2 linked regions of the Oryzias latipes genome follow. The protein of the gene in region 2 interacts with the protein of the main gene of each other region in a pairwise test. Links are inferred from orthologs where the notes say so. Each region holds a gene or a part of one and is shown on either strand. Other genes may lie near its edges.

Region 1 (16,034 bases), on a different chromosome or scaffold from region 2:
AGCCATCTTCATCTGATGACTAGGTTATGCTCAGCCACAAGCTGATTATCTATATATTATATGTTAGTTATATACAGAATTAACAAAGATTGTCCTAAGGCACCACACAAATCAAAAAACAAAAGAAAAATTACAATTTTATATTTCAAATCGTTTAAACTAGTTTAAAATTGTTATGTGGACCAGTGAGGCTAATTTGCCTTAACTGTGTTTTGATTATATCTTATTTACACCAAGGCCCAGTATTTCATAACTTTGGATCAGGATTAAAGTGATCCAAATGACCAAATCCTCTGATCCGACTCCGGGGATCAGACATTTTCATCTTGGTATTTCAAAACTTAGCTGGATCACAACAAATCACCTAGATCCACTTGAATGGGGATTTTGGGATGACCCGAAAGAATCAGAAAGATGAGAGAACATGGAAAAAGGCAGAGCTTTCTCCCGGATCAAGAAGAGCCTATAAATAAGAAGTGCTAACCATGAGAATGTAGTTTCTTTAAGAGCATGAAAAAAATCAAACTTTTCGTGCTTCTGCTCAATCGATCTGGCTGATTCAGCAGGAGACTCCCTTTTTTTTTAAACATACTAACAAAACCTCCCTTTAATTCTTCTCTGCTTCTTTCCAGGTGCATTTCTGTCTGGTTTATTTAAAGATGTGACCGTGCAGTAAACCGACACATTTAAATGTTTTCTCGTCGCCGGTCTGAGGCTGTGGAGCATGAGAGACCTGCTTCTCTGCAGGAGTTCATGTGTTCGATTACACTTATTTAAATGTTGAGCCGATGTACAGTAAGTGTGTGAACTGATGAGTCTCTACTGTACTTCGTATTTGCCTTTTCCACATTTTAACACCTTAAACAAAACGTGAAATGTTCAACAACTCCTCAGACAAGAGTGGAGCCCTTTGACTCATGAACTTCTAAAACAGGATTCTGGATTTTGTCTCTGTTTTGAGTGTCCTCTGAGGTTAAGCTGCTTTTCTGTTAATAGATGTATGTGTCTGTATTGTTGATCTCAGTATTGAGATAATCTACAAATTTAATTTCTAATAAAAAGATGAAAAATTCAAATTGTCTTTTCTGATTAAAGAAAATGAACCATTGTCAAACAAGAAGTAAAAATAAGTCACTTACTATCAGCAGTTTAATGATGAATGAGCTGCATGATTTTCTTTCTTTTGAGAAAGCATGTTGAAATTTTACCAGTATTCAACAATTGCAGCACAAAATTTTAGCAGTGCATCTTTTTCTTGCAACTTTCATATTTTTTTTGTTTTTGGGAGGGGGGGGTAAAGGAGAAACAGGTACTAGATCAGCCTCCTATCCTGCTCTCAGCTGGGATCAGAATAATTCTCATTTTCAGAATCAAACGTATCCAGGAATCTATCCAGGTTGAAAATCATGTTTTTTGAGTTTTTGACTTGTACGTGTGGCATTTTCTTTATAAAAGACAACAAATGTCATAAAAAATCCATTTCATTTTTGGATTTACGAGTTTTTTTCCTTTTAAATCGCTGTCAATCAAAGTGCTGCAAATACACTCGGTTTGAATTAACGAGTTGTTGTGATGTCACAACGGCCCAGGAGCGCATGTGCAATGCACAAGCTCCCCGATCTGCCCTGTCCGCTGTGCACATCAGCTCAGGTGGCACATTGCTGCATTCCCCGCACGTATACCAAGTGTGTCCCAGGCGGGATTTTGTTGTTGGCCACACGTTCAAATCCCAAATGTGTTCTCCACATTGCTGTTCTCTCTCTAACTTTGAAGGCTTGCTGTCCAGTATTACCCAGAGAGGGTAAAAATAAAAACAAGGATAAAATTAGGGGATAGGAGAAATATCCTAAAGTTCTGGAGGGCAGAGCACGGCTCCCCATCCCGCATCGGATCTGTGTCTGGCCGCCAGCTCACCTCCCGGGAGCCGGCATAGTGATCGGCTCCATCTCCATCTCCAGCTCCATCCGCCCTGCCACAGTCTGTCCAGGGTGTTCCCGCCTCCACCCAACAGTAGCTGGGACGGGTACTGTTGGGCAACTGTTGATACTATTGCACTGCACCCGCCACTCAAATCGCGCCGCTGAATCGCTTTCACTGTGAGCGCAGTTTAACCGTAACCTGTGATCCTAAACTTAACCCTAAACTTAAAAAAGCTCAGCACTGGCCGCACATATTTTGAAAATAACGTGTAAATGGCCACTATTTTTATGGCAATTCATTCTATTTGCTGTGAAATGTGATTCAACAATCTGCTTGTGCATCAAATCAGTTCTGAGCCACAGCCAGTGCTGCTGCAATGTAGCCTAAATTATAATGTCATTCAAAGCATTTTTCATGGACTAATTAAAGTTATTTTTTATGTGTCATTTTATCAAACAGTTGGGTCTGGTACACATATTTTTTTTGTTATTCTATACATTGTTCACAAAGTGTTGATTTGGAACCAAAAATATATCAATTTTCACAGTTTCTTTATAACTAAAGAGAAACTTTTGAGAATAGAGAGTGTTGGTCAGTGTCTCTTGTGCCCCCCCCCCCCCCCCCTTGTGTCAAGCTCTTCACTCATGCAAGACAGATATCATTATCAGAAAGGGCGGAGCTACCCAACTCAGCACCAATGGCCACGCCCATGTAGAGGGGATTTTGGAAAGAGGGACTTCAGATAAACAGGAAATATGACTTTTTAAGACATTTAGGTTGTGAGATTTTGGTTAAAAACTTCATAATCATCACAATCTTCATAAGAACTAGGGTTGTGCCGATGGACGATATCATCGTCCATCGTGATGGGTGACTGACATCCCGATGGAGAGACCACCATCGTGATGCCACGCCCCCGCCATGTTGCGCGTCGACACCATAAGCCGCGGTTACCTGTACAAAATATCTTGATGGGATCAATGGTCAGATTAGAATCCAACCGTGTAGATGGGCCCAGAAAAATGTGTTCAGAATATAAAAACGTTCACTAAGGTCACAATTTCGGTAGGAATAAATCATTCGCACATGCGCAGTTTGAAAACCGGAAGGGGATACAACTTCCGCCGAGCGTTTTTTTTCCCAAACTTTATTGAATGTAACAATTCAATACAAAACGATAACAGCACCGAGCGGCTATATATATTGACATGTCAGCTCGGTAATATATGAGACGGTCTTCTAAACGTGCTTTTAATAATGTTACGGTTATTATGAAACACCTGTTCGCTCATCATTTGAATTTTAATCCGTGTGGTCAGTGCTTTTTCTGAACGGAGACAGGATTAGCAGTATGCTAACACGGGCTAACACATTAGCTTTGGGTGGCGCTGCACGTAAACATGTAAGAATAACATCAGCCTTTATTTAGTCGGGACACGACTGGAAACACAAATCCACGTGATTGTTTGAATGTTTTCTAAGGACTGAGCGACATTTCTGCTTTGAAGCTCAAACCGCTGTGTGTGTGTGCTGACGATCCGAGCTGTGCTCAGACACACACTTTTAGACCCGGTTCTGAGTTCGGTTGCTTGTACCCCTAGAGCTGCGGGACGGATCGCAGTCTTAAATCTCCCACACATACCGCTCATGTACCCCACCCCCCCCCCCCCCCCCCTTCCCATCAAACACAAAGCTTTAAGTCCGCGCTCCGCCGGTCCACTTCACTAATTAAGTGCGGGAGCGACTACACTAATTTTCTATTTTGCTTGTTACTTTTTCTGTTAAAGTCACTTCCCTCAGTTTATACTGGATCATCGCGGATTAACCATTAGTTGGGAAATAAAATGAAAAGAGCAAAATAACGAATAGCAGTTATATAAGTATGAAAAATGTAAAAATACCCCCCCCCCCCCCCCCCCCCCCCCCCCCGACGATGTCATCGTCCATCCCGATGGTTGACAGCAAACATCGTCAACGCCAAATTAGGGGACATCGCCCAACCCTACTGGGAACATTTTTGCTTTTAACAAATTGTCATAAGGGGACTTTAAAAAAGGATCATGTATGCAGTCAAGTATCACTTGGTGGAAAAAAATGATTTAAGGATTGCCAGACAAGCTTTTGTATGAGGCTAGTCATGAAAACCCAAAGGTCAAATTCTCTTCCCCTGGTTAATCAGGAGACATCCAGCAGTGCACTGGTTCTGGGATGTTCACACAAACTGACAAGGAGCTGAAGACTTCTGCAAAGTTCACACCAAACATGGTTCACACGTCAAATTCACATCCGCTGAATCTCTTTTGACTCGTGTCAAATTTAATTGCTCGACACTTGGCCAAAACTGTTTTCATAAACTTGACACTGCTGACGTGTGGAAGGAGCTACCGTCAGTCAATTTGTTTTGCCTCATCGGTACACGCGAGCATTGACTGCAGCTCACATAGTCAATGCACAAAACGAGGATGATGTTGAGAGAGCGGTACTTCCGTCTCTCTGTGACCCAGTTTGACCACCAGGTGGGAAAAGATGTAAAAAAAAAAAAAAAAAATCAAATTAGTGGACCTCTATATTATTGTTTCCACACAAATAAGAATAGAATAATAATGTTCGGGTGGAGCGCTTACAGCTTCTCCTGATGGTTTTCACTTCGCTCGCTGATCATATCACGAACACGTCATGGGCCAAAGCTGAATTCCTGGATGATTTACGGAACGCAAAATGGATTTACCTGCGCTTTTCCAGATGCTAAAAGCCCTTCCATTGTGTCCATTATTCATTCACACTTGGTGATGAAAAGTGGCTGCCAGTTAGCGCCTACGGTTGTATAAATGGACACCGGGATCATTCACAGAGGTAGGGAGGGGCTTGCCCAAGGGCCCTCACTGGGTGATGTTAATTGCTCGCCATTGATATGTTATCATTGTTGATTCCCCTCCGGGAATCGAACCCTGGATTCCTGCGTGGTAGCCTTTCACCTTACCAACCGAGCTACCCAGCCAGGAAACATTGTGTTGCGCTGCCGCCACACAGCCATAACATGCCAACCTTTGATCACGTCTGTATGTTATCTTAGCATTGAAAATGGACATGAACCACGTTTGTTGCGAACGTAGCTTTATCCTCATGTAACGGGCAGCACAGTCTCCAGCATGTATGATGTGATGGCTAGTTCCTTTTTGTGGTGTGGCTGATCCCTGGACACGTTAGAGGGCTTGTCCACTCCGGCTTATTTAACACTTACCATTGATGTCAGCTTTCTCAAACCGAATCCAAATGATTTTCTCTTTCTCATCAGAGGGTACAGCACCAGTATAGGCCTACAAAAGGAAGAAATACACGTTTTCATTTTATTTATTAGCCATATAACAACAAAAACTGAATGATATACTGTGATCCAGTGAACTCTTCTATAGGTTAGAGAGGATAGACAATGGAAGAGTTCAAAGTCATAGTCTTTGCATGTTTTTAAAATGGACAAACACTGATATTAGATTATTATTTCTCAGTATATGAAACACCTTTGTGAGATTTAAAGAAGCCAGGTGTGATACTTTCCACCTTGTAACATCCCATTGTAAGCAGTACAAGCTTTACAAAGAACTACATTGTAGGCTCTGTCATTGGTTAGTATTCATAAATACACCAGAGATGGTAAGGAGATGGAAATGCAGGCTTTCTGCTTTAGTAAAGTTGGAAAATCTACCACAGAAAGTGGGGAAAATGGTTTCAATCACGTCAAAGTCTAGACATCAACCCAACAAATCTGTGGTGGGACCTGAAGAGAGCAGAGCGTAAATTAATGACTGCAAATGTTCAAAAACTGAGGCATAGTTCCAGAAGGAAGCTTAAGAAAGATGCTTAACATTGGTGTCCAAAATGCATGAGTAATACAGACAATTATGCAAAGCTGTATTTGCCAAAAGCTGCTAATAATAGGATGTTTATTTTTTACACTTGTAGTACCCAAACCTGACATTTTCCAGGCTGCAGACTGTTATTCTCATGTAGGTGACTGTAAGCAAATTATATCCTAATTCATGTTAGTACAACCCACAATCCTAAACATGCCTTACACTTAATATAAGTGTATTAGTGAATGAATAACAATAGTAGTATTTGTGTATTACCTGTGGGACAACATCCTGTAAAAAGGTCACAACACTTTCCATGTACGACTGTTCCCTGTCAAAAAAAGGAAAATTAATCTGGCAGGTGTCCCAAAAACCAGTCTCACTCCTGGATTTGTAAGGAAAGAAAACCAAATTCAAATGTCTGTGTCTCATTATCAAGCCCCTGCAGTGCTAATGCTTTAAAGCTGATGCGTTTGAGCAACAAACAGATGCATGGCCTATTATACATAAAACAAGACACACAAACACTCCAGATTAAAGTTAAATATAATGAACTCTGGTTGAAGACAAACATCAGTGGAGCCACTGCAACAAAATGGCATGGATTTCTAGATAACAAAAGTTTCTTCTTACGTTGCAGCTTGTGCTCGCACCAAAACTCCTCCAGCACAGCGACTCGGTCTGCGTGGAGAGTCCGATGCCATCTCTGTGGCTTCTTTTCTTTATTCTGAAAAGCCAGAAAGGAATCATAAGGAGGATTCAAACAACTCCAGAAAGATGTCATGGTTTGTACCTAATATTCAACTCAAGAAACTCTAAGTTCTGTGACAGATCTTTTCAGAGAAGCAACCTTTTTAGAAGCACTAACCACATTTCTGCCTTAAAACACGATAGCATTTGTAAGCCTCTGAAATGTTTTCATGATAAAGTATAGATATCTATACATGGTTGCTTTTATTTAATAGCTGGGAGACTCAAAAACCATGTTCTGCTAGCAAAGAGCCTTTGTTTACTGCATTTAGGATGGAAGTCAAATACAACTGGTTATTGCCAATCAACACTTGCGTTCTGTCCTATTATTATTATCATTATTATTACCTAATCTTCGACAGACGTTCATGTGGAAACAATCAAAAGTTAACCAAAACAAAGACACGTCGTATCGTGTGACGTGGATGACGTTGCTGTCATCCACTGAGTGAGACAGCGTCTCCACTACTGGACGAAAGTCCTGACATGCCTGTTTTTTTTGTTTGTTTTTTTTTACCCCCAAAACGCTTCCGGAACTAAGCCTCTCCAAACCTACACTTTCGGCAGCTCGAGCACCAACCCGGGCATCTGTCAGCTGAAAACACCCAGCTGCTGGCAGCAGAGAGACAGACAGGACCCAGCAGCTAACTAACCAACAGACCCAGCTAGCTACAGCTAGCTTCCAAACGCACCGCTGCTTATTCAACAACATCACTGCAAACCTGTCGTTCGACATTTACGAATGTGTCAGACGGCAATACCTTTAGAAAATGAAGCGGTTCTCGGTTTGGACTGTTGTCCGCTGGAAGAGCTGCCAGTACAAAACCTAAACATGCACTGTATTTGCGGAACTGTGTTGTGAGTAGACAGCCAATCAGAGAACAGCAACAACCTCGTCAATCCAATCAAAATGCTGAGAGGGTGTGACGATTTCATTTCGTCTGGATACATATATTTTTAAGTTGAAACAATAAAAAATAAAATAAATAAAAATAACAGACAGTGTATGAAGTTTAAAGGAGGATTAAAAAAATCTTTCTGGTACAGGTGAAGAGATTTAAATGTCTGATGGTTTTACAGAGATTGATCTACCGTAAGTAGATTTATCATTGTCAGGTACAGTGTTTATGCTTTTCTTAATTTCAGAACAAATAAATTAAGATCCAAACCTTTTTTGTATACATTATTATAAGAAAGCAGTTCATTCTTGCAACCTTATTGTTTGACAGTGTTATCAGATAACTATTTAAAACACAAAACAATATTCCATCGGTTATCGTCTGTTACTTTAACCATCATAAGCCATGAAAGACTGCAGACTTATTAGTTTCTACTGACATTGCACATGGAAGATATAACCATCTCCTCATTTTGTAATTTCTCTTGCACAAAATTGGAAAATAATCATTGTTTTTATAATTCTTGACTCTATGAATGGAACACTTTTCCTCAGGTCAGGTAACTTTAAGTGGTTTGCTTTGGCTCAGCTTTTTCTTTGAATCTCACTTGTAAACTGCTTTTCCAAAATGACTTCATAAATGGTAAATAGCATATACTGATGTCGTAATTTTCACCTTACTTGATGGTCCAAAGGGCCTCACATTCACCCATGTGCACACATACCTTTACACACTGATGGCAGCTCTGCTCCCTAACACTGGTGCCAACCTCCCACCAGAGGCAAAGTGGGGTTCAGTGTCTTGATCAAGGGTCAACCGCCCTACCGCTGCACCACGGCCGCCCCAAAAGGAACTGGACTGTTTTTCAGTGGTATACAGTAGTATTGTCACTGAAAATATTTAATATTTAAATATTTCTATAAATTATTTTCCCCTTTTTTAAGGTTACAGAGTCTGAAGAAAGAGAGGACAAGCACAGCATCCAATTTACTAGATCTCCAGTCAATGATAGTTTGGTTACACTCATCTGACCTAAATCAGACAGAGAATTGAAAGCATAAAAAGAAAAATGCCAGACACATATGACGGTGTATTTCATAATGCACCAAATTGCTAGAGGAAGCTCTTTACCATGAGTCCTTGACAAACAGGTTCAACAGTTTTTATATCAGAATCAAAATCATGTATAATATAATTATGTATATTTCTTTCTGGTTTTAAGTAATAAGTTTTCATTAGCTGTAAGTTCAATGTCTAAGAAGTATAACTAATATTTTTCATGTAATAATTGTACATAAAAGTTGATTTTAACGTTGTTGTTTTTTTGACATTTTGTTATATACAGTTGGACCAATATACATATAATTAGTATAAAGAAATAAACATAAAATTAAACTTACAAAAAGTCATGAAAAAGCTCCCATGCTAAAAGTGAAACATCCATAAGTTGAAAACTTTGTCACGTGTTCCCGTAAAGGTCAACATCCATACAGGTGCTGCTAGTTTCTGGGTTGTCAGGGCCCATACAGGGTTGTAGAGAGCAGGGGCTGCATCTTAACAGAAGCGCAGGTTCAGGTCTTGCTGTTCCCTTCAGGCGTAACCCTTGTGCTATCCTAGGCATGTGAACATTGGGTGTGGGGTCATCTAGACCCACTAGACAGTGCTCTGAACCTTTTTCCTTCAATGATTTGTGATCTTCACTGGTGTCCATGGATTACATGAAATCTTTCCACCTTTATCCACCTTTGTCATGGTAGGGAGAACACGTCAATGTAAGGGGGGGGGGGGGGGGTCATCTAAGATAGCACAAGGGTTAATTGACTACCTTCTGGAAATGGGATGTACCATTGTCGTATGTGCGTTAAGATTATTGGGAAATATTGGTAAAGATAATGCAAGTCACTCACCCATGACGTACGAGTGATGCTTTTGAACAGCACCCACAGCACTCCAGTAGTTACTGAGGTGCGTGCAGTGGTTCCTTTCTGACTGTGTGCAATGACGCACGGGGTGTGCAGGTGATGTGCAAGTGCCCGCAAGACACCTGTATGTCCACACAAACTACCCTCGGAAAATCTAGTTTCCTCATTTCTAAAAATCAGGCTTTACGGAAGGAGTGCACGCTTGACACTTAAACAGCACTAACGGGCTTACTGGGCAGTCTGCAGGATTTCAGGGGGTCGAAAAAAAAAAACACACCTGCATCTCACCAAATTCACCCTTTATGTGTTGCTTAAGTGTTTGCTAAGACCTGTCGCCCACAGCTTGCCCGTAGCAAAATAGGTGCATGAACATTTTCATAGACTGGGGTCTACAAGCTTAAGTTTTTGTACGGACCACCTATGTGCCCTGCAAAGATTTGACCTCCATTTTTCACTTGGACACACCCCGTATCCACCTGTTAGGGCAGTTGTGACTAAAGCTTAATAGGTTTAAGTAGTGACTACATTAATGAGAGACTGCTTTAGTGGGTCAAAATGTGGAGAAGAATTTATCATTATTATTATTATTGTTATTATTATTAATATTATTATTTGTGATGTCGGTGCTTTCATCAACAGCGACATCCAAAAAATGACTGGATTCCTTCATTTGGCGCCCAAGTCACATCAGAGATGTTGGATCTGCAGTGGTAATCCTTGACAGACTTATGCTGGGAAAGGTTAACTGCTTTTTGGGGCACAAGACTTCTGCAGCCTTTAGCATTTTTTTAAAATAAATTCAATATAAATGGTTATATGGTTTAAATGGTTTAGATGTTTGCACCAACTCATTTGCAATAAGGAATCTGTCTTTCTTCATCACTGACGTCACGGCTCCAGTAAATGCAGACGGCATGCTCCATCACCTCTCTGAAACTACAGAAAAATAGTCTATAGGGTTAGGCTTTTCTAGAAAACTGGGTTTTATGTTAATGGTTAACATTGGTAAAATAAGGGGAAACAAAAAACTTTAAAACTAGTAAAAACAAAAATACTAGTTAAGGTTCAAATAGATACCAGGGGTATATTAGTGGGGAAACATTTAGCTTAAAAACTGCTGTTAAGGAAAAAAAGGGAATTCTTGGTTTTTACCGTGTGTCCATTTGGTCAAAAACCCGCACTTAAACCCAAATCCGTTCAGACAGGCAAAGGGAATGGTATCCTACAATTCCTTGAGCTGCCAATCTAACAGCAGCACCAAAGTTGCACCTACTTAATTGGATTAATTTGAATGAAAGTAAAATAAATGTCTGATAGCTACGTGCTATTTTTAAGTTCAACTCAAAAAAATGATTTATCTTAACTGAAGCAAATAAGTAAGTTAGATCAAAGTAAAAAAGTTTATCTTTAAAACATGGATACGTGGTCTTATCACACCCTCTTACGTATGATCTGAGCTTCTTCATCCACTAAATCATCTTCAAATGGACACGGCATGCTGCTTCATCTCTCTGAAAACAAACTAACCTTCAACTAACTGCGCCGTGCACATACCTGCAAAGATCATCTATAACGTAACCACATAGGTTAGAATTTCGACGTCACTTTTTAGTCATCGTTCCAGAAGGTCAAAAAGTCCTGACTTATGCATGAGCTCAAATCCATTTCTGGTTGAATTTTATTCTAAAATTTATCACAGTACCGCAAAAAGAAAAAAGACTATTTCTAAACAGCAGATTTCTGAAGTTCTCATTTAGAAAAGAATAATAAAACCTCTAGTCTGTTTAAAATTCAGTAAAGATAAATTAGAAGTTCAAATTAGCATGCTTCAACAAAAAGTAGTTAAAATCAGCATACTTGTATTCTAGTTGGTAGATATCTTCAAAAACTAAATTTCCTCTGCACAGCAGATGCTCTGCTTCTCAGTAATGTTTTCCTGATGAAAGTAGATCACAGAAAAAGTATCAAACCAAGGAAATTATCTAGATGTGCACACCGTGTGTAACTCGGTGTGAAAGAGTTTATAATTCACTTTTATTTTCTTTTGTGCCAAATAACTTTAGTCAAACAACCGTTGTTTGAGAGTTTTCTTGGAGACTGGAAAACTCTTATTGGGCTGCACGGTGGGATAGTACTTAGAGCTTGTACTGTATATTTCTTAGGTATTTAATTTTTCATGTATTAGCAAAGTACGGTAATTTTCTTTTTCAGAGTAATTTTTCTGTTTGAGACCGCACTTCTTCATATTGTTGCTGCCGTTTGCGTGCACAAGCTAAAGTCCCACACATTCTCAAATCCTGTAAACCTTTAACCTCAACATTAAAAGTTTGCTAGGAACTGGCTTCTCTGTGCTCTGCTCTCTGACCGGCGCTCAGTTAAAAGAAGGTATTAGGCCTGCATTTCCCTCCAGACTGTTCAAACTCCATCATAGGGTCCTTTGAGCCGGATCTGTAGTTTTATGGAGTGTAAATGGCGTCAGAACAACCTTATGCAGATACAGTGGTGCATTCTAGACTTCAGCAGAGAGACTGCTGCCAGCATTTCTTCAAAACTTTGAAGTTGGTTATTTACCAGGAGTTACACGCCCCCAACCTATCGAGTTGAGGACACTGGAGCAACATGGGGGATACAGACCAGGAGCAGCTTTCACTGCAGCCATGTGGGGAAACAAAGTCAAGCAAATTTTCTGTCTTTTCAAGTCTCAGACTCTCAGAATAGTGCTGTCATACCTACAGGACATGTACTGTATCCTCCAAGGTCCAGTAGAGAGAGTCTATCTGAACTACAGACAGCCATGTTGGAGGAGCAGGTGTTGCATTGAGCTAGCAGAGGTGAAAGGGGCAGATGGAGGAACAGGTGCTCGTATATGAGCTGAAATGCTATCAGTGAGGAAAGAAAACCTTCTCAGAGTAGAAAAAAAGCAAAGATGTATGCTTAGGCGAGAAGGCAGAGTTGGCATACAAGAGTAAAGAAGCTAAAACCATACACTTTCTCAAATTTTGTAAACCTTCGATATGAAAAGTCTGCGAGGAACTGGCTTCTTGCCTTTCTCTCTGACTGGAGCTCAGTTGAGGGAAGCTAATATACAAGCATTTCCCTCCAGTGTTCAAACTCTATCACAGTGATCTTCCCTCACTGCTTCAAATCCCAGCTGGCACCTTTCTGTGTGGGGTTTGCATGTCCTCCCAGTGCATGTGTGGGCTTCCTCCCACAGTCCAGAAACATGCTTCATAGGTGCACTGGGATCTCCAAATTGCCCCTAGATGTGAGTGTGTGTAAGCAACAAACCTGTTCAGGGGGAATCCCACCTTTCTCCAACAGTAGCTGGGTTACCCCCAGCAGCCCCATGACCCAGAAAGGATGGAAAACTCGTGGTGCACAGGTGGAGTGGTCGAACTTTTTTTGGAAGATCACATGTGTTGCAATGTTCTTGGGCAAGACGCTGAACTCCACATCGTTCATGGTGGTTATAGGTTGGCGCCAGTGTAACACAACTGCAATCAGTGTGTGAATGGGTGAATGGAATTGTCACTGTAAAGCACTTTAGGCCTTCAATGGGGGCAGAAAAGCTTTACATGAGTATACGCCATTTACAATTTCGAAGCACAAGACAACAAAATCTTTTACTAGCCATAAATTCTGTTTTTAAATGCCACATCTCTAGCTGTATAGGCTACTGTCACACTCTGCAGTTGACACTGCTGCTCATTTAACTAGTAGCTTTAAACACCATCTCATCACTTCCATTTTAGTTTCCATTCACTGGTTTCCTGTCCATCTTGGATTTAGTTCGAAAAGTTTCTGTTTCTCAGATCTCTTCATGGCCTGAGTCATTTCAATCCCACTGAGCTTTAGCACTGACACACTCCTAGAATATTTAGGTCTGCTGCAGCTGGTCCGGAGTGTGCTTCAGTCTAAATGCCTGCTCTGAGGTGATTGTACTACTACTCTCATTGTACATTGAGTAGGCATTTTCGTGTTCTCTTTAAATCACACCCTAAATCTCATTTTTTGTGACAGCAGTTCCCTGCTGTTTGTAACACGTGTGCTTTTGAGTTTGTTGTGTGTCTGTTTGTTGTGAGCCTGTTGTCCTGTAAAGAGGTCTGTTGCAGACAGTGTAGCGTCACCTCTTGCTTGACATCATGAATAGCTCAATTAAATCACTGACCAGTATTAATGCTCATGCTTCTGAACACATACACACTGACTCACAAAGTTACAGAGGAAACCACTCAGCAGGAGTTGTTGTGATGTAATTACTTTTTATTTGATGTGAAAAATTATTCAAACTCAATGAGATGGAAAGCGTTCTGCAGTCTGTCACAAGAACTGGCATTGTTTACTTCCCCTCCAGCACATCATTTGCTCTATCTCCTGTTTGCAATTATTCTCTGTGTCTTTCTGTCATACATATTCCGCCACAGTGTATCACATGCCTCATTTAACTAGACGCAAGTGTACGCATGCGTATGTGCGACCACGTATGTCTCCTGAGCTGTATTGTGTTTTTTTTGTATTTGTTTTCATTTGGATGTCACATGGTGTCTGGAAGCATCTGTTCAAAGATAAACCCGAGCTGTGCTCACAAACATTGGTGTCTTATGCATTCTTGTGGATGTAAGCACTTCTAACAAACAGGTGACGCATTTCCTGATGTCCTTGACACAGGACAAGAGCGGGAAGACGTGTGTTAATTTAGGCAGGTCAACAAAGATGCGGTGTTGCTGAAGGCTAGTTTTCTTTTTCACCAAAAATGTTTGGGCTACAAGAACAAATTTATATAAATCATGTGTGTGTGCATTTCTTAGGAAAAGAAATGAATTTAACTTCCCTTTTTACCCTCCACATGTGGTCTCTCCTCCAGAAACCTGGGAGTTTAAAATAGGGTTAACATTGTGTCTCTATGTTGTGCTCGTTACATTTTTCTCAGTATAAAGTCATTTTAATCTATCCTGTGTTGTTGCATTAAAAACCTGTGCTTTGATGAAACTAAAGTAGGTTATAGGAGACGCATGGATGGATGTGTGGGCAGGATCAATGGAGAAATGACAGATTTTCTACGTCATCAAACTGTTATGGAGTTGTGGTTGTTGTCATTGTAGCTCCAGAGAAACAAGGATTTTTTCTTTTCCAAATCTAGAAATACACAATAATGTTGAGTACTACATGTAAAGAATATGGCAACCTCAGTGATTTGAAATAGATTTGATGTGGCATTGCCTACAACCTAAAGCTGAATTATAGCACAAAATGAATCCCACGGATTGTTTTTGTACCATACCTGATTGTTGAAATAGTACACCCCTTTATTTATAATGGGCACACTTAAGACAGATTATAAGACCAAAATACTGCAGTTTTAATTGGAAAATAAAACAATACTGAAGTTCTAACTATTTTGTGCCCTAGGTTTGTGTGAATCAGACATGTTGTCAATGCTGTTATTACACTTATGATCATCGTATTAAAAACCATGCCTGGCACTTGTAGCTCCAAATTTTTGTCTGTAATCCAATACAATTTTGTCAAAATTGCTCGGAATTGGGCAGTTAAACAAATCTGCAAGTCTTCAATGAACAATAAATGTTTGTAATTACATTTACATCAAACTGTTTTGCTTTTAATTTGTTTGATTATTTTTGTTTTTTAAGCAACTAAAATGTAGGTCCAGTTTGGCATTCCATCTTCTAATTAGCTCAATACGATGTGATCAGATGCTCAAAACTAGAACTAGAGACCAGTGTCTCACAACAATTTATGATATATCCACACCACAATGTATGATAATTTCATCTGTCCATTCACTCCAATTTATAAAATGTTTCTTTCATTCTCTTGCATGAAGTCAGGTTGCCTTTGTCATCTCTTTCCAGAATTGAATACAGCTCTTTTGAATCTCATTGTTGTTGGTTGACCGATACAGTAGAGCATTCACCAACAACTTGTCATGAAAACCAATGTCACTTTTGACCTTGTTTTGCTGTAATTACGATCACCGTTTTTTAAACCCGATGACATTACAGACACAGATAAATGCATGGTGGCTGTTTGACTGACTGTGGTGGGTGGGAGTGGCTTCAGTTGGAGAAGAACAGCTTTTTCTAAAGAAAGACAGCACCACAGTCGCTATGATTCTCTTCAGAGAAGCGAACCGCTCCTCTGAGGTGTACGTGTGCAGTGTTGGCTTTTGTCCATCGGATGGCAGTGTGAGTGCATCTGTGAAACCTCGGAGAGGTCCCTCTTTGTTCTCCTGCCTGCTTCTCCTCTTTCTGCAGCTCTCCATCCCCCAGCCACATGAGAGAGGACAAAAACAGGAGAAAAAAAAGTATCCTCTAGTCAAAATGAATAGCATTTAATGTGAATTTAATTGAATATTTGGTTCAAAATGGAGGTAATTCTGCATTGTTTTAATAATTGGTTACCAAATAAATATACTTAAAAAAGGCTTTAATTTGCTTTTTAGCACAGAGGAGCCGTAGCTTAAGTTTGCTCCAAAACTGTGAGCCACTGCCTTTTCCAATGTGTTCATCTCATTGTCAGAGAAGCAAAATAAAGGAAAAGATAAAAAGTTACATTCAAACAAAAGAAAGCACAACAGTGAAAATGAAGAGAATAATGAAATGACCTTCTCCACGTTTTTCTTTGGCTTTTCGTCTGACTGGGTTGCTGTAAAGCCATTGTTTGTTATTGCA
Region 2 (16,353 bases):
CTGGCAATAATACCATCTGAATTTCGCAGCTTTAACCCTTGTGCTATCTTGTGGGGTCCAGATGACCCCGCTCCCAACGATAACGTGCCTTGGAGGCACGTTATCATTGGGAGTGGGGTCATCTGGACCCCACAAGCTAGCACAAGGGTTAAAGGGACGGAGATTCCCCTACCTGTGTAGCACCACAGGTTTCTCCATAGGGTGACCCAGCAGCTCCTGAATCTGATCCCACTAGGAGAGATTCAAAAAAAAAATCCTCAACAGCTGATCAGACCAACTCCAAGATGTCTTTGACTTTCACGTTAGTTTTTTAATGACAACAGGGAGCATTAACAGACAGATATTCTCTTCCTGGCTCAAAACAACCAGAGGACAGGAAACCCCAAAACTGGATATCTCAGTTAAGCTTTCTGGAACCGGCACCTTTGGACCAGATAATCTCTCCAGAACTGACCTTGCTGTAGGTGGTTAAGATGCAGTCCTCAGCCTGAGAATCAGCTCCTTCTAAAACAGGAAGCAGAGATCCCCGTATTAATTATCTTTAAACCTCACGGAAAATATCAGTCCAGATCAGACTCATGATTTCAAATCGTTCCACCTTTTTTGATGATGAGAGGAATCCTAAAGTCACATCGATGATATCTGCATCAAGAGAGCAGTGAAAAAACATGAGAGAAAAACAAGACGTGTCTGATATTCTAGAGAAACATTAGGACACAAGCAGGCAGGGAAAAAAGAAAATATCAAAGAAGAAGAGCTCAGATACTTACATATTAAAGTTGTAATGTCCTGGGTAGTTGGTATGGAGAACAAACTTCTTCACCAGGTGAGTTGTTGAGTCAAAAAGAATATCCTAAAGAAAAGATGATCGTTACGAGGGTTGGGTTTGATTGACTGTTTCCAGAAACGCCTTTACGAGTCTCATCTCCTGCAGATAAAAGCCATTCAGCGAGACGTTCCTCAGGAATTTTGTCACTTTCTTCAACGCGTTGGATAAAAGTAGACAGAGCGATCATCATAACAGGCAGGCATCATCTCGGAGTGGAGTGGAGTGGAGTCGACAAATACCATTATTTTCTGACTGTATTTTTTCATCGACTCATCTCCTCGTTCACAATAATTTGAATAAAAATATATTCAGAAATGCAATTTTGAGTTTAACTTTCATTATATATGTCATCCGTCATCAAAAAAATGCTACAAGAACACGATAAAAACACCAGAAACATTCTTTGTAGCCCTTTCATTTAGCGTGCAGCACTTTTCTTTACACCATCTGATAAAAAACTAAATAGGCCTAAATTCTATTTTTTCCAACATCTATGCATTTCTTTAATTTAGCATCTTTTTTTTGCTTTACTACCTTTTTTAATTTATCATTGTTCACCTTTTTCCATTCATTTCATACAAGGTTAAAGATTGCTCCACACTGTGTTGACGTTGGCATAATTATTTCTTATTTTACTCATTCATTTAGACAGATCAATGAGAGTGGTGAATACTGAGTCAGTAATGACTGAACTGCTGTGATTAAACCTGGAGGTCCTCTATAGCAGGGTTTTTCAACCAGTGTACCGTGGGAGACGCTCAGGTGTGCTGTGGGAAATTTCCCTCATCAACTGATCTAAAAACATTTTCCATCTCCAGGATATCAGCTCTGTGTTCATCTAAACAGGCCCTGATAAAACACTGAGTAGTTAGGAACATGAAAGATCATGAAATACTTTTTTCTTTGTGTTTATTTGATTCTATTAAAGACACTTTGATAAGAATGGTGGTACCGCGATTTTTTTTTGGAAAAGTCCCGCCCCTTCAACTGTCTCCGCCAATCATTCTTGGAGGCTTAATCACATGTCATCAGTCTGACCAATCAGAAGTGGGTAAAGTCCTCACTTCCTTGTTCTGATTCTGCTCATAAAGTCTCTCAGTTCCAACAAAAATACCAGCTAAAGCTCGTCTTTAGCGGTGTAGCTTTCCAAGGCGGATCCGGTGTCAGACCATGGAACAAGTGAAAAAACTTGCTCACTTTTTGTGTAGCTACAGAAAACATAACTATAATATTAGTTTTTTTTGTGTAAAATTTATCAAACATATTGTGATCATATTGTTCAAAAATTACAGTTGCCTTTGCACCGACATTTAAAAAGATATTAAAAAAAATAAATCATTATTTAGAAAGAACATATTTGTTTTTTTGTGAGGTCACATAAAATTGCATGTTAATAACTGAAGGGAAAATTTTCAAATAATTTAGTTGAAAATTATTACTGAAAACTAACTTAACTTTTATTACAACTTTTAAAAAAAAACAGCTGCAACTTCCAGCTTTTTCTGCCACAATTATCACAAAAATGCATGTGAAACTGCGGAGGGACTGTAGATCAATACAGACTAAGAGTTTCTCCTTTTCTTAATTTTTGGATGCTGGTGTGCTGCAGGATTTTTGTCAAGGATAAAGTGTGCCTTGGCTGAAAAAAGGTTGAAAAACACTGTTCTGTGGCGCCTTCAGGAAGGCAGAGGTAGAACGAGGAAGTGAGATGTGTGATGACAGTCCTTTAAACTTTTCTGCTCTACAAATGTAGTGAGAAAAGGACAGGAGGGTTGAGAACAACCAATAATCTTTTTAAGCAGCCCTGATAACCGTTTTGCAAAGGCTATTTGTGCCACAGTGTACCCTGGTAACCAATTACAAACAGCATGTTTAGGCAGTTTTATACATATGTTTTAGAAAGACACCATCACTTTCTTGTCTACACTTTTTTATTATTCCAAAACATTCAATATTCAAACATTCGTTGTTCTAAGCATTCTTAAGTTGATTTAGCATTCATACAGATGTTTTCTGCATCTTTATCAGGCCTCCTCAGCGGATGGATGATCTGAACTTCTTTGCATGATAATCTTTGTGGGTGTGTCCAAATTGGAGGGCTGGGTTCTACCTGGGCCGCCTTTGCAGGCTGCATACGTTACAGCGCCACGACAAGTGTTGTCCAAATTCAACAACTCCTTTAAACGCGGCCGGGTGTATCCTTCTATGCTGTCCATATCCCAAGCTGCATTGCGGCCGAAACCCAGAGACTTTCTGAAAAAATGGCGGACTGTGGAGCGGGACCCGGACGGAGTTGGAGATAATACACCTTTTTAAATTACACCTCCAAGACTAAAAGTTGGATCAAGTAAGCCAGGAAAATGTTAAGCTCCATGCCTCGTTCACTACTCCTCTCTGTTCAGGACTTTTGGTTGCTAGGTGACAGGACATTCGCCGATGTAACGGCTGGAATTATCTAAAGGCTAGACTTGTCCAAATTGACAGCCGTTAACGTCCGGCCTATCCGCTCCACAAAGGACCCAGGCCTCGAATTTGGACGTAGCCAAAGACCGTTTTTGGTTAGGTGGAACATTTTTGCTCCATTTGAAAACAAATACAGAACGTTTTTATTTAGTATTTCTAAAGCTACTTCCCTTTGATCTTTGTCAGGACCTATCTTACTTCCTGTTAAACCCACACATAGTGAAGTTTTTAGTTTTGTAGTTTTTGTCGTGTGTTTCCAGAGAATTAGTGCTTGAAAATGACTGTTGGTGGATTTCTTCCTGTTAAACCGTGAATGAAACCGTGAATGAATAGGAAAATGGTTCTGCGCTTGACACAAAGTTTGTATGTGTTTTTAAAGCTTTTTTTTTTTTTTTTTTGCTTTTCCAGACCTGATTTTCCTAAATATTTTCTGGTGTTTAAAGGTCGCCGACTAAAACATTCTTCTGCTGACAGAGACCGCTGATCCATTTCTGACACTTTCAAAGGACTCAACTGCAATAATTTTCTGCTTTCTTTAGAAAAATGAAAAAAACAACCAAACATGTATCATAGGAAGAATGAACTACCCAACAATTGCTGGCTCACACTTTCAGATTTAATTCCCGGCTAACACAGACGTTTGTCGTGACAGCTAGAATCGCTTCAACAATGAGTATAATCTGAGTCCAGCTTTAAGTGTAACAAATTACTGTGTTGAAATCACAAACGGCGTTCTCCCACAGACAGCAGATCAAAATAAAGAAGCTACATACCACGCCCAGGGTGAAGAAGTTGAAGAAGTAGTCGTTGCATTTGGAGGGAACTTGCTTGTGAGGTGATGGAGAGTGGATCTTCATCTGATTGTCAAATTGTGGCCAAACACAAAAAAACACACAAAAAAAAAACAGGAAAAGTTGAGTTTTTCCCGTGTTAGACAGCATTGTAATGAAGCGCCGCTGCAGTGACAGACACCAGCGACGGCGACGCGCTCCCACCTTGTCCTCTGACTTGTAGAAAACTTTATGGGGCGAGCCCAGAGCGCCCAGGACATCCTGACAGGAGTCTCCGAAGAAGATGCTCCTGTCCATTGACCGGACCTTGGCGTCAGCCATCACCCCGACACCCGAGCCTGCAGCGACCCAACACACCCACAGCAGTGAGACCTTCAAGCTCCAATGCCTGTCCTCCTAATCAAGGTCAGGTCATTTAGAACAACAATGTTGTTTTACCAAGAACAAAGAGGGTAACATTTGACACATGACAGCCACCAGTGCATTAAAGACTGACAGTCTCACAGCAACTAACTACATTTTTTGTTGCTTGGAAGATTTTAAAAAATCCATCACTTTATAAAAAGTGTGTTTTTTCTTCAAAAATCTCATTTTTGTAACACCCACATTACTTGTTTGCTGCTCTTTTTTACTTACATAATGTTCTCAGTGGTCTTGTGTTTTTGTAAACTTTATTTTCTTTAAATATCTTATTTTCTTTCGTTTATCAGGACAAACTACCCAAGAAGCTGTTCTCTTTTTGGGTTTATAATTTGAAACAAATTCAGTAAATAATTGTTGGTTCATCCCTGTTAACCGACATGTTTTTGTTTACCAAAATGCAAGAAATAATCATCACAACATTAAACATAATATCTTCTGCCCTCTACACATTTTCTTCCATCTTTACAGCGCCCTCTGCAAACCGCTTCACTTGTTCAAACCTTGATGATGAAGGAACATTTTGTGTCATCCACTCTGAACTGACGTGTTTACCTGCAGCGAGGAGGCGGAGTTTGAGCCCCAAAGGACCCGCCCCATCTCTCAGGACATCCACGCACTCAGCGTAGATGTTTCCAAGAAAACAAGCCAGCGGCATTGGAGGAGCTCTGAGGACCCAAACACAGCTTTAGTTTCTTAGTTCCTCTTAAATGCTCGACACTCTCTGAAACTCTCTTTTTTTTTTTGTGGTATGATCACCTCGTCTCCTGCAGGTTGTTGCCAGTGTAGATGTGCATCCTCCTAACCATGGCTCCATGTGGAATCTGCATGGATGCCAGGAAAGTTAGGCCAGGCTAACAAACCGGATTTCATCCAAAAATAAAAACCTTTTTCTAAATTTACTTTTATCGTGATATCTAGCTGTGCAACACACATATCGGAAAAGACGGTGAAATCCTTAAATGTGCTAAAACAATCTTATGGCAGCTTGAAGTATTTAACAAATCAGATAAATCCATTTGTGCATTTGACCAATCGGATTGACCCCCTTTTGATGTTAGATGTTCGTAGACGAGGGTCCTTTTAGAGTATCATTTAAATGATGCTGACTCATTTAAATTAAACTGTTGCAGTGAAATGGAAATGATGTATGTACCGTAGTTGTTTTGCTGTTTGTTCATGTACCGCAGGTTATATTGTCATCACAATATTGATCACTAATATTTTTCCTCATATCGTGCTGCCCTACTGGAGAGGTTTTATATTCGAATTAAAATCACTTCAAAAATGTAACTTTTATTCCACAAGACCAAACGATGACTCAGATTTACGGCTTTTACATTTGTGAAGGTGAAATGTGAATGTTGGCATAGGTCACTGTGACATGAACTCTTCTTTAACTAAAACATGAAAGAACGAAAGAGCACAAAGTCATGGGCTTAGAGAAATCAGACTCTCCATTGTATTTATAGAGCATGTATTTACTGAATATAGCTTATACTCAACAACAAAAGAATAAGACAAAGAAGAAAAAGCTAAATGCCTCCATTTATTGAAAAAAAAAGTTTTTCTTCGTCTAATAAAAAGGTAAATCTAAGAAATGTTTCTAAAGACTTCAATATTTCTTCTATTAACTTTTTACTCCAATGTTTTTAATATAGTCATTTATTTTAATGCTCTGTGAAGACGATGACTTGTCTCTGCGTTTAAACGAAGCCTCCAAATAAAAGTAAAGCTGTCTGGCTTTAAAACAGAAGTAGAAGATGAAACCCAGAAGAAGCTATTATGGGTTTGTTTTTGGTCTGAAGCAGCCAATATTATCAAATTGAGTCTTCAGCATAAAAACTAAATGCACAGAAATAATAACTGCAGATTATGAAGCCATACGCACACACGCATGCACAGAACTCAGCCTTAGACTGTCACCACAAAGCCCAATCACTCAAAGCTCCTGTCTGACCCTCACAACACTCCAACGGGGTCGTTCAGATTCCCTCACCTCATATTTCGGCGCTTCGTTCCACGACTCCAGCTGGAAGGAGAAGGACAGTCCACGAAAGTTGAGATGGAACAGCTGCTCTGCGGGGTTGTAAACTGGACCAAGATGTGGAAAAAGAGCAACAACAAAGTTGGAGAGGAGAAATCAAACACAGATGGACCTGAGCGTCAGCTGAGTTACCTCCAGGGTGCGTGGCTCCAAAGGACTGATCTATCTGCTCTATCGTGGGGGCGATGGCCTGAGAGTTGAAATGCACTCCACTAAAACAAAGACAACATCACATCCATTATCATTCCAGCAGGCCGAGTCCAGACCGAATCTAAGCTCGAAGATGCAGTAAGGTTCCCCGCTCCACCACAGCCCACGCTTAATTTTGGAGTCTGAATTTGATCTCACCAGTATTTTAGCTTGACTTTGCTGAGGTCATACACCTCGATCACCTTTGACACAAAGAAAAAAACAGTTAAAAAAGGACAGGTAGTCACAGCCGAAGGCTTGCAGCGCTGCTCAGAGTTTATAGTATTTAGACTTTCACCTTAAGTCTCTGGTTTGTGGCATCAAACAGCAGTTTAATCCCATCCTGAGTCAGGTTCAGTATGAGGTCGTGGCTGAGAGGCGTCTGCAGCGAAGCAAACAGTCATTACTGAGGCAGGAGGTGGTCCTTCACAGGCAAACACATCCGTCAGTGTTTCACAACCTCCTTGACTGCTGTTTTTAAGGAAGAACAACCCGGACAGAGCCAGGCCGCAGACAGAAAACTGAAGCCCGGAGGAGGCGTTGAGTGCTGTCACGGGCTGTACATATGTGCAGTCAGGTAAACTGGTCTACGAAAGAAACCTTGTTACCTAGGAAATCAGCTAACAGGTGCACGTGCAATTCCGAAACCTGTTTCCCACACCTTCATGACCTAATAGACATCACGACCTCATTCATCACGCGGCACATCTATTGACAGTGGAATGAGGAGTAACAACATTTAAGAAGCGTCAATTTCCCTGAGGAAATCTATAAAAGTTCTCCCAACCTCATTTCTATGTTTAGATGAAAACCAGGTTACTCAAGAAAACACAATGCAACATGGTAACTTAAAGACCCACAAATAGATCCATGTTCATCTCATTTTCCTCGTCTGAGCTGGAATCTGACTCGAAACTGTACGGCTGGATGGCTCCAATATTGTTCGCCGTTGTTGTTGTATCGCTAATGTTATGTTGGGGGTGTGAGGGCTGTAAACTAGTGGGAGAGCATGTAAACAGAGAGCTCTCAGCAACAGGGTGGGGAAGGTGGAGGCAAGGCTGCTCCGAGCCGACGTTCCCGCCCACAACTCAGAGGTGAATTTCTAATGAACTACAGCTGCTCTGCAGATACTGTCCTAGAAAACGACACCAATTTATTGAGTTGTGCTAAAAACAGCTCAATCATTATAAAAAGACCACTGGGAACACTTCTGAAAAAGATCCAAAGATGACCGGAGATGGACTTTAAGTGCACTTAAACAAGACTTTTCATTTAGAAGGGAAAAAAGGAATACTATCACAGGAACAAGCAACAGGGCTGGAACATTTTGAGCTATAGTAATGTAAAGGTGGAGTGTTTTTACATGCGTTATCTTTCTCTGGGTCACAGAATTGACAGTGTCAAAGTACGACAAACAGTCAGTGATGGAGCTGCAGCTTTGTCCAATGACCTAAAGAAAATACCGCTCATACAGGTTTGTCTAAACCTCAGACTAGATGACATATTGCGTTAAACTTGTCAAAAAGCTCTGCATTATATGTAAACTCAGGGTTTAGGCTCCATAAAAAAACAATTCAAGCATTTTCAAGGTCAGGTAGGTTAATTGCCATAACTTTTTTAGAAGGCGAAATTTTGGATGTTTACACAAACACCCGTGTAGAATAAATGAAAATACACGCTGAACATTTCAAACTCTGAAAAACAAAATTTACATTTTAGAACTTTTTAAAGACTTAAAAACAAAGACTTGATTCGCCTTCATGGCTTTTACAAAGTCTTCAGACTCACTAACTGCTTACATGATGACTGGATCAGAACCAAATTCCTTTCATGGTAAAATCTGAACCTGTTGGTCACACTAAACTTTCAGCTGAAGTTAACAGACACTGACTTAATCCCCAAAGACAAACAAAAGATAAAAATTATGACAAAGACAGACGTTTTGTTCAAAAAGGATTTACAGACTCACTCCGATCATCTTTTGATCTATTTTCAAAGTATTCCCAGTGGACTTTTAACTATGAATATGCTGTTGTCTGAGTTCACTTCCAAGTTGTCTACAAGCTTTAGCGTTAAACTTGTCAAAAAGCTCTGCATTATATGTAAACTCAGGGTTTAGGCTCCATAAAAAAAACCAATTCAAGCATTTTCAAGGTTCGATTCCTGGAGGGGGATAAACAATTGTACTGGGTCAATTACCATATCAATGGCGAGCAATAAACATCACCCAGTGAGGGCCCTTAGGCAAGACCCTTAACGCTACTGCTGCGGTTAGGCTGCAGCTCATCGCTCCCCCAGGGGATGGGACAAATGCGGAGAAGAATTTCCCCATTGTGGGATAAATAAAGTATCAATTATTATTATTATTATTATTTTCCATCTGCATTAATTTGTTTGCTTCTGATTCACAAATATTTGGAGAAAGAAATACTCAGAAATGCAATTTGAAGCTTTTTTTTTATAAACCAGTATACGTCTTCCAACATCAGACAAATGCTGCATAAAAAATGTTAAGAACACTGAAAACACCATTCATTGGAATATTGTCTTTTACAGAATTTTCTAAAATGTAGGGGAAAGTCCTAATCTTATGCAAATGTAATTCATCTAGAATGTTTTTGGATAACAGAGAAACTCAGTCCTCTCACCTGCTCACTGTACAGCACCTGGACATTCTTGATGATGCGGCAGTGTTTCTGCAGGATAGAGACAGCCTGGGAAAACGGCATCCCTGGAAAAAGAAAAAAAACAAGCAGACATTAGGTGTAGTTGTAAATGTTGTTTTTGTTTGTTTACAAAGCGATGACTGTCAACCACCCACCTAAGGCGAACTCCCATTGCTCATTTCCAAGTGATCTCTCAGGGACCACCTCCAGATCCAGCATTGGCAAGTAGATGGGGGCAACTGCGCTCACCTCAAGACACAACAGGAGCCACAGAGGGGCCCTCTTCTTCTGTCTGTCCCAGATCACAGCGCCCGATCACAACAGGCAGCTGCTGATCCTCATACCTGGACCGGCTTTTCTGTAGCTGCTCGATCTGTCAAAAGCCTGTCCTTCTAACTCATGTCATGTGACCTGGATGTGGAAACGTCACCACAGACAGGAGCCAGAGCGGTCAGATATTCACAATGACCGTAGTTAGTATTTACAGAGGAAGCCTGCGAGTTAGCCAGGAGGCGATTGCTCAACTTATCAGCAAAACTCAAAGTCAAACAGACCAGACCAGCTGTCAGGCGAGCAAATGCTGTTTGTGTTTTCAGAAATAATTGGAAAAAAAAACAATAAAACGACCCCCTCAAAATATTAGTCCAGATAAGTAATGGGAAAAAAAATTCACCGTTTGTTCACAAGCGAGATATCTGAAGCGATGTTTTCTTTGTTGTTACGCGAACACATTTCGGCTACATGCCTGTGTGTCCGGAACCAGCGGCACACGCAAGAACTGCAGCCCCAGATGAAGCGTCCCTAACCGCCTCTGGTCCTTAACGGTCTGAGGGAGAGAAGGGGGGTTGTTGTTATGAAAGCTTCAAACCTGGACTCTTTTCTTCGAGCTTCGTCGAGCTAACGTTAGCGTCTGCTAGCCGTATCGTCCAAGTCCCTAAAATAAAGTGCGTTAATATACATAAAAAAAAAATCCAGAATCAGTTACTTCATAGGAGGAGATTAGACTGATTTCTTGACCGAGACAAAAGCACGGGTCTGTTTTCTTTTCTATTCTTCTAGGTTTTACCAAACTAAAGCTTCTGAAAAGCTAGCTCTGCTGTCGCTGCACGCGAGTAAACAAGTCCTAGCAACCGGGCACGTGCTTCGTTCCTCGTGAACTCCAAAGCCGGTAAATGTCCTTTGTGTCCAAACCGCAAGCTTTGACGTGTCTTCACCGCTGCGAGCAGAGAAGAGGGACACCAAGTCCAAACAAGTCCACACATCAACAACAGCAGCAACCAGCTGATCAGACAGCTTCCGGTGCTCGTCGCACGTCCTTGGCCGACGTGATGACGTCATAAAGATTTTCTCCCTCACAACCAAATTTTCCTTCATTCGTGACTTAAAGATTGTAAGGAAGACACAGTCAATCTCTAACTACTAAAAAAAACTACAAAGTGCCCTGGATTTTAAAAGCATGCTCACTACTTTTTTTTTAATGGTGAATAGGACATCATAGAATCCACAAAGTGAAAATCTAATCTACAATAACCATTTATGAATCCAATGTGTTCTGATGATAAAAATGTTAGTTTATTGAATAAAACACATTTAAACACTCTTGCTGCCTCGTATGGCTTTCCTGGATTCGGGTGGTTTAAGGACACCAAAGATCTAATGTGCAGTGTGAAAAGAAATAAATCAGACAAGACTCTGCATGAAAGTTCAAACCATTGCAAAGAGGAGATATGACAGATGCATCCGACACCAGCAGGCGAAAGCTCTGCTGTTATCTGCTCTCTCTGCTCCCAACAGAGCAACATGTAAAATAAGTCAGTAGGTACAGTAGATTTTGCCGCCATTCAAGGATCGTCGTGTCCGCATCTCTAGTCCGCAATCCACAGATGCCTCTGTTCCATAAACAACAGCACGGAAAAAAAACCTCAACACTCCTAATCTGGTGATGCATGCCAGTCCCGTTCAGTTTACAGCATGCGACTGCAAGTGTTATTGCCACACACACGAATATAAAGAATCAAGTAAATGCATAATCAAATAGCATACAAACATAATGGAATCCCTGATCACCTCCACAATACTTTCTTTTTTTTTTTTGCAAAAATTGTTTAGACGCAATGCATTGTGGTCTATTTTCGTTAATCTAGTGAGCATCGATGCACACTGGTTTTTCGCAGAGACTTCTGGGAAATTTCTAGGGCACTCGAATTTGGAATTGTAGATTCAGACAGCACTACAAAATGTAGTGAGTAGTGGAGGAATTCAGGCACAACTCAAATGTACAAAACCTAAGATAAAAGAATGCTTGACACTAGTTGTAAAAATAGAAAATAAGCCTGGAGAATCCCCCAAAATGCAATTTTCCATTATCCCACCCCCTAGTGTCCAGATTAAATCATACAAAAAAAAATTAAAGTCCCACTCCAACTATATTTTTATCCTTTGTAAAAGCGTTCCCAGAGGTATTTTAATTATGACTATGCCGTTTTTTGGCAAAAAAGAAAAACAGTCTTTGAAAAAAAAAAACAGACATTGTTTTCGCAGAGCAGCAGGAGTTCATTAAAAATTTGCCTCAGAGTTGTGGGTGGATCAGTTGGCGGGGAATTAGCCCTCTGCTGACATCCCTTTATCCTCTTGTCAACACTTTGTTGCGCTAGTTTACAACGCCAAAAGAATGGGTAGAGCAAAGGTATCTCCTCTCTTCTATTTTTCATAGTCTTACAACAGTTAACCTAGATTGAAGGTATCATGCTGCCCTCTGCAACCCTGGTACACACATATTCAGATTAAGACTATCGTTTGTTTTTTTTACTTATTTAGATAAAGAAATTTGTCCTCTTAGTCATCAGTAATAGTTATCTAAACAACTATCTTGTAATCCAGAGAGAAAGCTACTATAACTACAGATTTGTAACTCTTGTTACCTGCATACTTAGGTAACAGTGTTGCACTAGGTTTTGTAATCATCAAATATATAATGTAGTAAAAGCTGCACAATTGATCTGTAGGCTGAGCTAACACATGTTAATCAGGTCATTGACAGTTTGTGATCTTTTCTTGATGATTATGTTGCAGAAAATCAAAAAGCGATGGTTTTACTTTTTTACGAACAGCTCTCCACACCGGCCAAGGGTGGCTATCCAGAGCCAACCGAAGTTCCGCAGCGCTCTAGTATCGTCACGTCTAGGCGGGATTCTGACTTAGAGGCGTTCAGTCATGATCCCACAGATTGTAGCTTCGCACCATTGGCTCCTCAGTCCAGCACATATACCAAACCAGCTGTTCCTTTTGTGCTGAGCTGGATTACCATACCATGCCAGTGGTGAAATGGCTAGCACTCTTGCTTCAACGTGAAAAGGACCTGGTTCAGATCCCATATACTGAGAGAACATTCCTGATGTGTTCAAGTCAATGATTTGCTTTCTCTGGTGTGTGACGAGCTCCTTTGACTTTCCCATTGTAAAGGCCCGTACACACCGGGACGAATATTCGCCAGCCATTATTCGCCAGCGTTTTTCAACACGTCTTTTGTGTTCACACCCAGGCGATTTTCGCTGACGAAGATCCGAGCGAACATGCAATTTCATTCCCTGACATTAGATGGCGCTTAATGTAAAACAGAAATACTCCTGTACACAAGGTGGCGCTGCACAACTTTACGCTTATTAAACTCGCTTTTCACCCAGAAGAAGAGAGCAAGTATTTACGTGCTTGTCAGAATCATACAAAGAAAACATGAATATTTCAAGCACCAGGAGCTCCAGCTCCAGTTCCAGCGATGAAGAAATTATTGTTCTGTTGAATGATGAAAGACGGCGGAAAAGACGCGATTTTGGGTACATCCAAGTTACGAGAAGAGAACATGGGGAGTTTTATCGACTGGTACAAGAGCTGAAAATGTATCATGAGCGTTTTTTTGGGGATATTTTAGAATGTCCGTCATTATTTCTTTGCGGCAGTGTAGACGCTACTTGGCGTCTATCTTCTTCGCTGGTATGTGTGCTCAGAAAGGCAGTTTTGTGTTTGAGCACCCCCAAGTTGTTTTACTGTAACTTCAGAAGCTCCAGACACGTGTGCAAAAGCGCCATTCTCATTGGTCGAATAGTTTTTGACGCGGCGCGTCAAACCAAAAAAACGAACCCGAGGCGTTTTTAAAAAAATGACGCTTTGACACGTGGCGTTTTTCGCGTCGGTGTGCACACTCACATTGGTGCCCTTTGTTTAGTCACGAGGCGTTAAACGTCACTCACAAGAAGCTAAGAGACCGTGCTTTGAAGCTCATGTCATTGACACAACTTTCTAAGTCACCAAAATTGCTCCTTCATGCAGCTGTAAACTTTTGACCCAGCAGATTTATTCACATTTTCAATGGACCCATAAAATTCATAAAAGTACAAAACTTCATAAGTGCTTTTAATGACACAGAAGTGGCTGTTCCAATCACTCTATCAGAGAAAAATAAGAGCTGCAGAAATAACAGGTAACTCAAGACAGCTCATGACATTGTGTTCTTTACAAGTGTATGTAAACTTTAGAGCACCACTGTAGATTCCAGTGGGATTGACATCAGGAATATTTTGGGAAATAAGCAGCAATTCAGGAATAATTTGATTTTGTGTCAAAAAAAGAGTAACGTTCTCTGAGTTATCAGATATTTTTCACTTTTTATTGTAATTTTGGTTTAATCCAAAGCTTCTTGTAAAATTTTACAAACATGTGGTCATAAACGTACAAACACAAATCATCTGTTGGCTTTTTAAGTTAAGAACAAAATCAGATTGAAAACATATACATGTGTCGGATACAATAAGATGAAACCGTTGAGCTTCATAAACAAAATAAAAGAAACAATCTTCTTCAGAAAGTCACAAAATATAAAACAGGAAAGCTGATGATGTGTCGAGCATCTTCATTAAATATAACATTAAAAATGCAAGCAAAAAAGAAAAAGTTGTCCAATCTCCCAAATTTGTGGAGAAATTTAGAATAAAAAAAACAGATTTATATAGAAGAAGGTGTGACTGCTGTTCAAAGCTGACACCAAAATGAATGCACACGCAGAGGAGAGAAGATGACAAAAAGTAAACATCATGACCTTCACACTAGCAAAAGCAGGATTCCAACTCACAGAAACATTTCATTCCACTGGTGCTGTGACGGGGCGGGAAAGAGAGCGCTGCTTCCGTGCAGCGATGCAGGGTTCTGGACAGGCATCTTCTCTTTACACAGCTTCATTTTGATGTTTCCTGCATGTTTTGATGCAACCGGTTGTTTCGGCTTGGGCTTCATCACCGAGCAACTGGGTTCCATCTGTTAACATTGCTGTAACTTTACACCGTTCTGTGCTAAAATTCACGAATCATGAAAAAAAATTTGAGCTTGTTTGTAAAGAATGGAGGGGTGGGGGGTGAGGCTTCGGCTCTGCCGAAATGCAGTTTGGAAGACAAATGATCTCTGAGCTTCCTCACATGCTTCCAGAGACAAAGACTGAGCGGCAGAATTGCAGTTAAAGCTTCTAAAATCTGTTTTCAGATACATTTATAAATCACTGCAAATAATTCTTCACCCTGCAGCTCAGCGTAAGCCATTCTTCTTTATTTTAACTCAAAATTTGTTGTGGAAACAAAATTTTCATTCTTCCAGCAAAGCAAACTTTGGTCTCAGAAAAGGCAGTGAGCTCAGACACACAGCCGTATTAACAGAGGTGGAGGTTTTCTCCTTTGCTTTAAGTTTAACGCTGACTCAGCTGCTGAAACCTGAAAGTGACCCTGAGCTACAATATCTTCTTTTTCAGTTTCTTCTAGTTCCTCCTCCTCACCCCCCTAAAGTCTTCCATTATATTTTTTCTGTCTTATTTCTTTCCATGAACAGATATCATCATTTTGTGTATAAAAACTGTCAATTGAACACTTATACATGTGGGCAGAATTGGGTCTCCTACTGTTGAGTCCTTCTTTTCAAAGCTTATATTCACTTTCAATTCAATCAGTTCAATTTTTTGTTCAAATGAAACAAATCAGCGTGTGAAGAGGATCACATTAAACCTACTGAAGCATAATGTGAAACATTCTGCAGCTGTGGCTTCACGTGACTTCCAGCTGATTGTGTTGAAAGTGAACAGCCGTAGATCTCTGCTCCTCTTCCTCTTCCTCGTCAGCGCATCTTGTGTTCCATGTCAGCGTTGGCCATGTTTGAGCCAGGGCTGGGGTCCTGCTGTCGTCTGGACTGGGGAGAGACAGGGATAGGAGGATGAAAGAAAGCAGAAAAGGAGAGGAAAGAGAGGGACAAATGAGACACGGACAGAAGAAAAAAGAAAGAAGCAGGAGCAAAACACTGCATGAAGTATAACTTTCAAAAATTTAAAACTAGCACTAATCCATCTCAGTTGTTCACTTTATAAACCTTTTAAAGGAGACATAAAATAATTTTCATGTTTTAGAGCTAAATATCCTACTAATGTCTGTTTATTTATTCATTTTAAAAACAGAAGCATAGCAATAAATGACAAAAATGTCTTTGGATGAAGTTTCTAAACGTATTCAGTCTAGGCCTGAAAAAAGGCAGAAAAATCGATTGAATGAATTAATTTGAATTTTTGGTTCCGGGCAATTTGAAAAATAACTAAATCGAGTTTTTGTGTAATGGCGCATTTTTGGCTACCGGTGAGAGTGGGAAGCTCACGCGCTCATTCCTCTTACACACACAGCCCGCTGACACACATACACATAGTCATTCTACAACACCTATATAGTTAGTTCATTAGTTAGATAGTTTGTAGTTAGTTGTTACTGTTATTTGTTAATAAAGAATACTGCGTTGTAATTATTACTTGTATTTTGTGTTCTGCGGCGGCAGCGGGGGGTGGTGGGGGGGGTTATCGATCGCGACTCCTGCTGCTTCATCAGCGCGGTGATCAAAAATCCCACACCGTCACAGCTCTAGGTTATATCT

Evidence for each region.
Region 1: the proteins of c6h16orf70 (region 2) and bcas3 interact in binary tests that used the Homo sapiens proteins (3 or more experiments, as listed by UniProt). The link is inferred for Oryzias latipes from reciprocal best matches to the Homo sapiens genes PHAF1 and BCAS3.

Annotation. Positions count from the first base shown.
Region 1 is NC_019871.2:29,559,344-29,575,377, reverse strand, and holds the start of bcas3 (breast carcinoma-amplified sequence 3), read right to left. Parts: upstream 7,409-16,034; 5' UTR 7,283-7,408; intron 6,499-7,282; 5' UTR 6,476-6,498; coding exon 6,405-6,475; intron 6,103-6,404; coding exon 6,048-6,102; intron 5,238-6,047; coding exon 5,162-5,237; intron 1-5,161. UniProt on the Homo sapiens protein: Plays a role in angiogenesis. Participates in the regulation of cell polarity and directional endothelial cell migration by mediating both the activation and recruitment of CDC42 and the reorganization of the actin cytoskeleton at the cell leading edge.
Region 2 is NC_019864.2:26,089,431-26,105,783, reverse strand, and holds the start of c6h16orf70 (UPF0183 protein C16orf70 homolog), read right to left. Parts: upstream 10,718-16,353; 5' UTR 9,625-10,717; coding exon 9,561-9,624; intron 9,471-9,560; coding exon 9,388-9,470; intron 7,122-9,387; coding exon 7,038-7,121; intron 6,943-7,037; coding exon 6,899-6,942; intron 6,763-6,898; coding exon 6,683-6,762; intron 6,598-6,682; coding exon 6,503-6,597; intron 5,328-6,502; coding exon 5,263-5,327; intron 5,172-5,262; coding exon 5,059-5,171; intron 4,422-5,058; coding exon 4,288-4,421; intron 4,150-4,287; coding exon 4,066-4,149; intron 854-4,065; coding exon 771-853; intron 643-770; coding exon 599-642; intron 505-598; coding exon 455-504; intron 232-454; coding exon 173-231; intron 1-172. Other genes in the region: cbfb (core-binding factor subunit beta), read right to left, coding at 15,556-15,627. UniProt on the Homo sapiens protein: Plays a regulatory role in autophagic activity. In complex with BCAS3, associates with the autophagosome formation site during both non-selective and selective autophagy.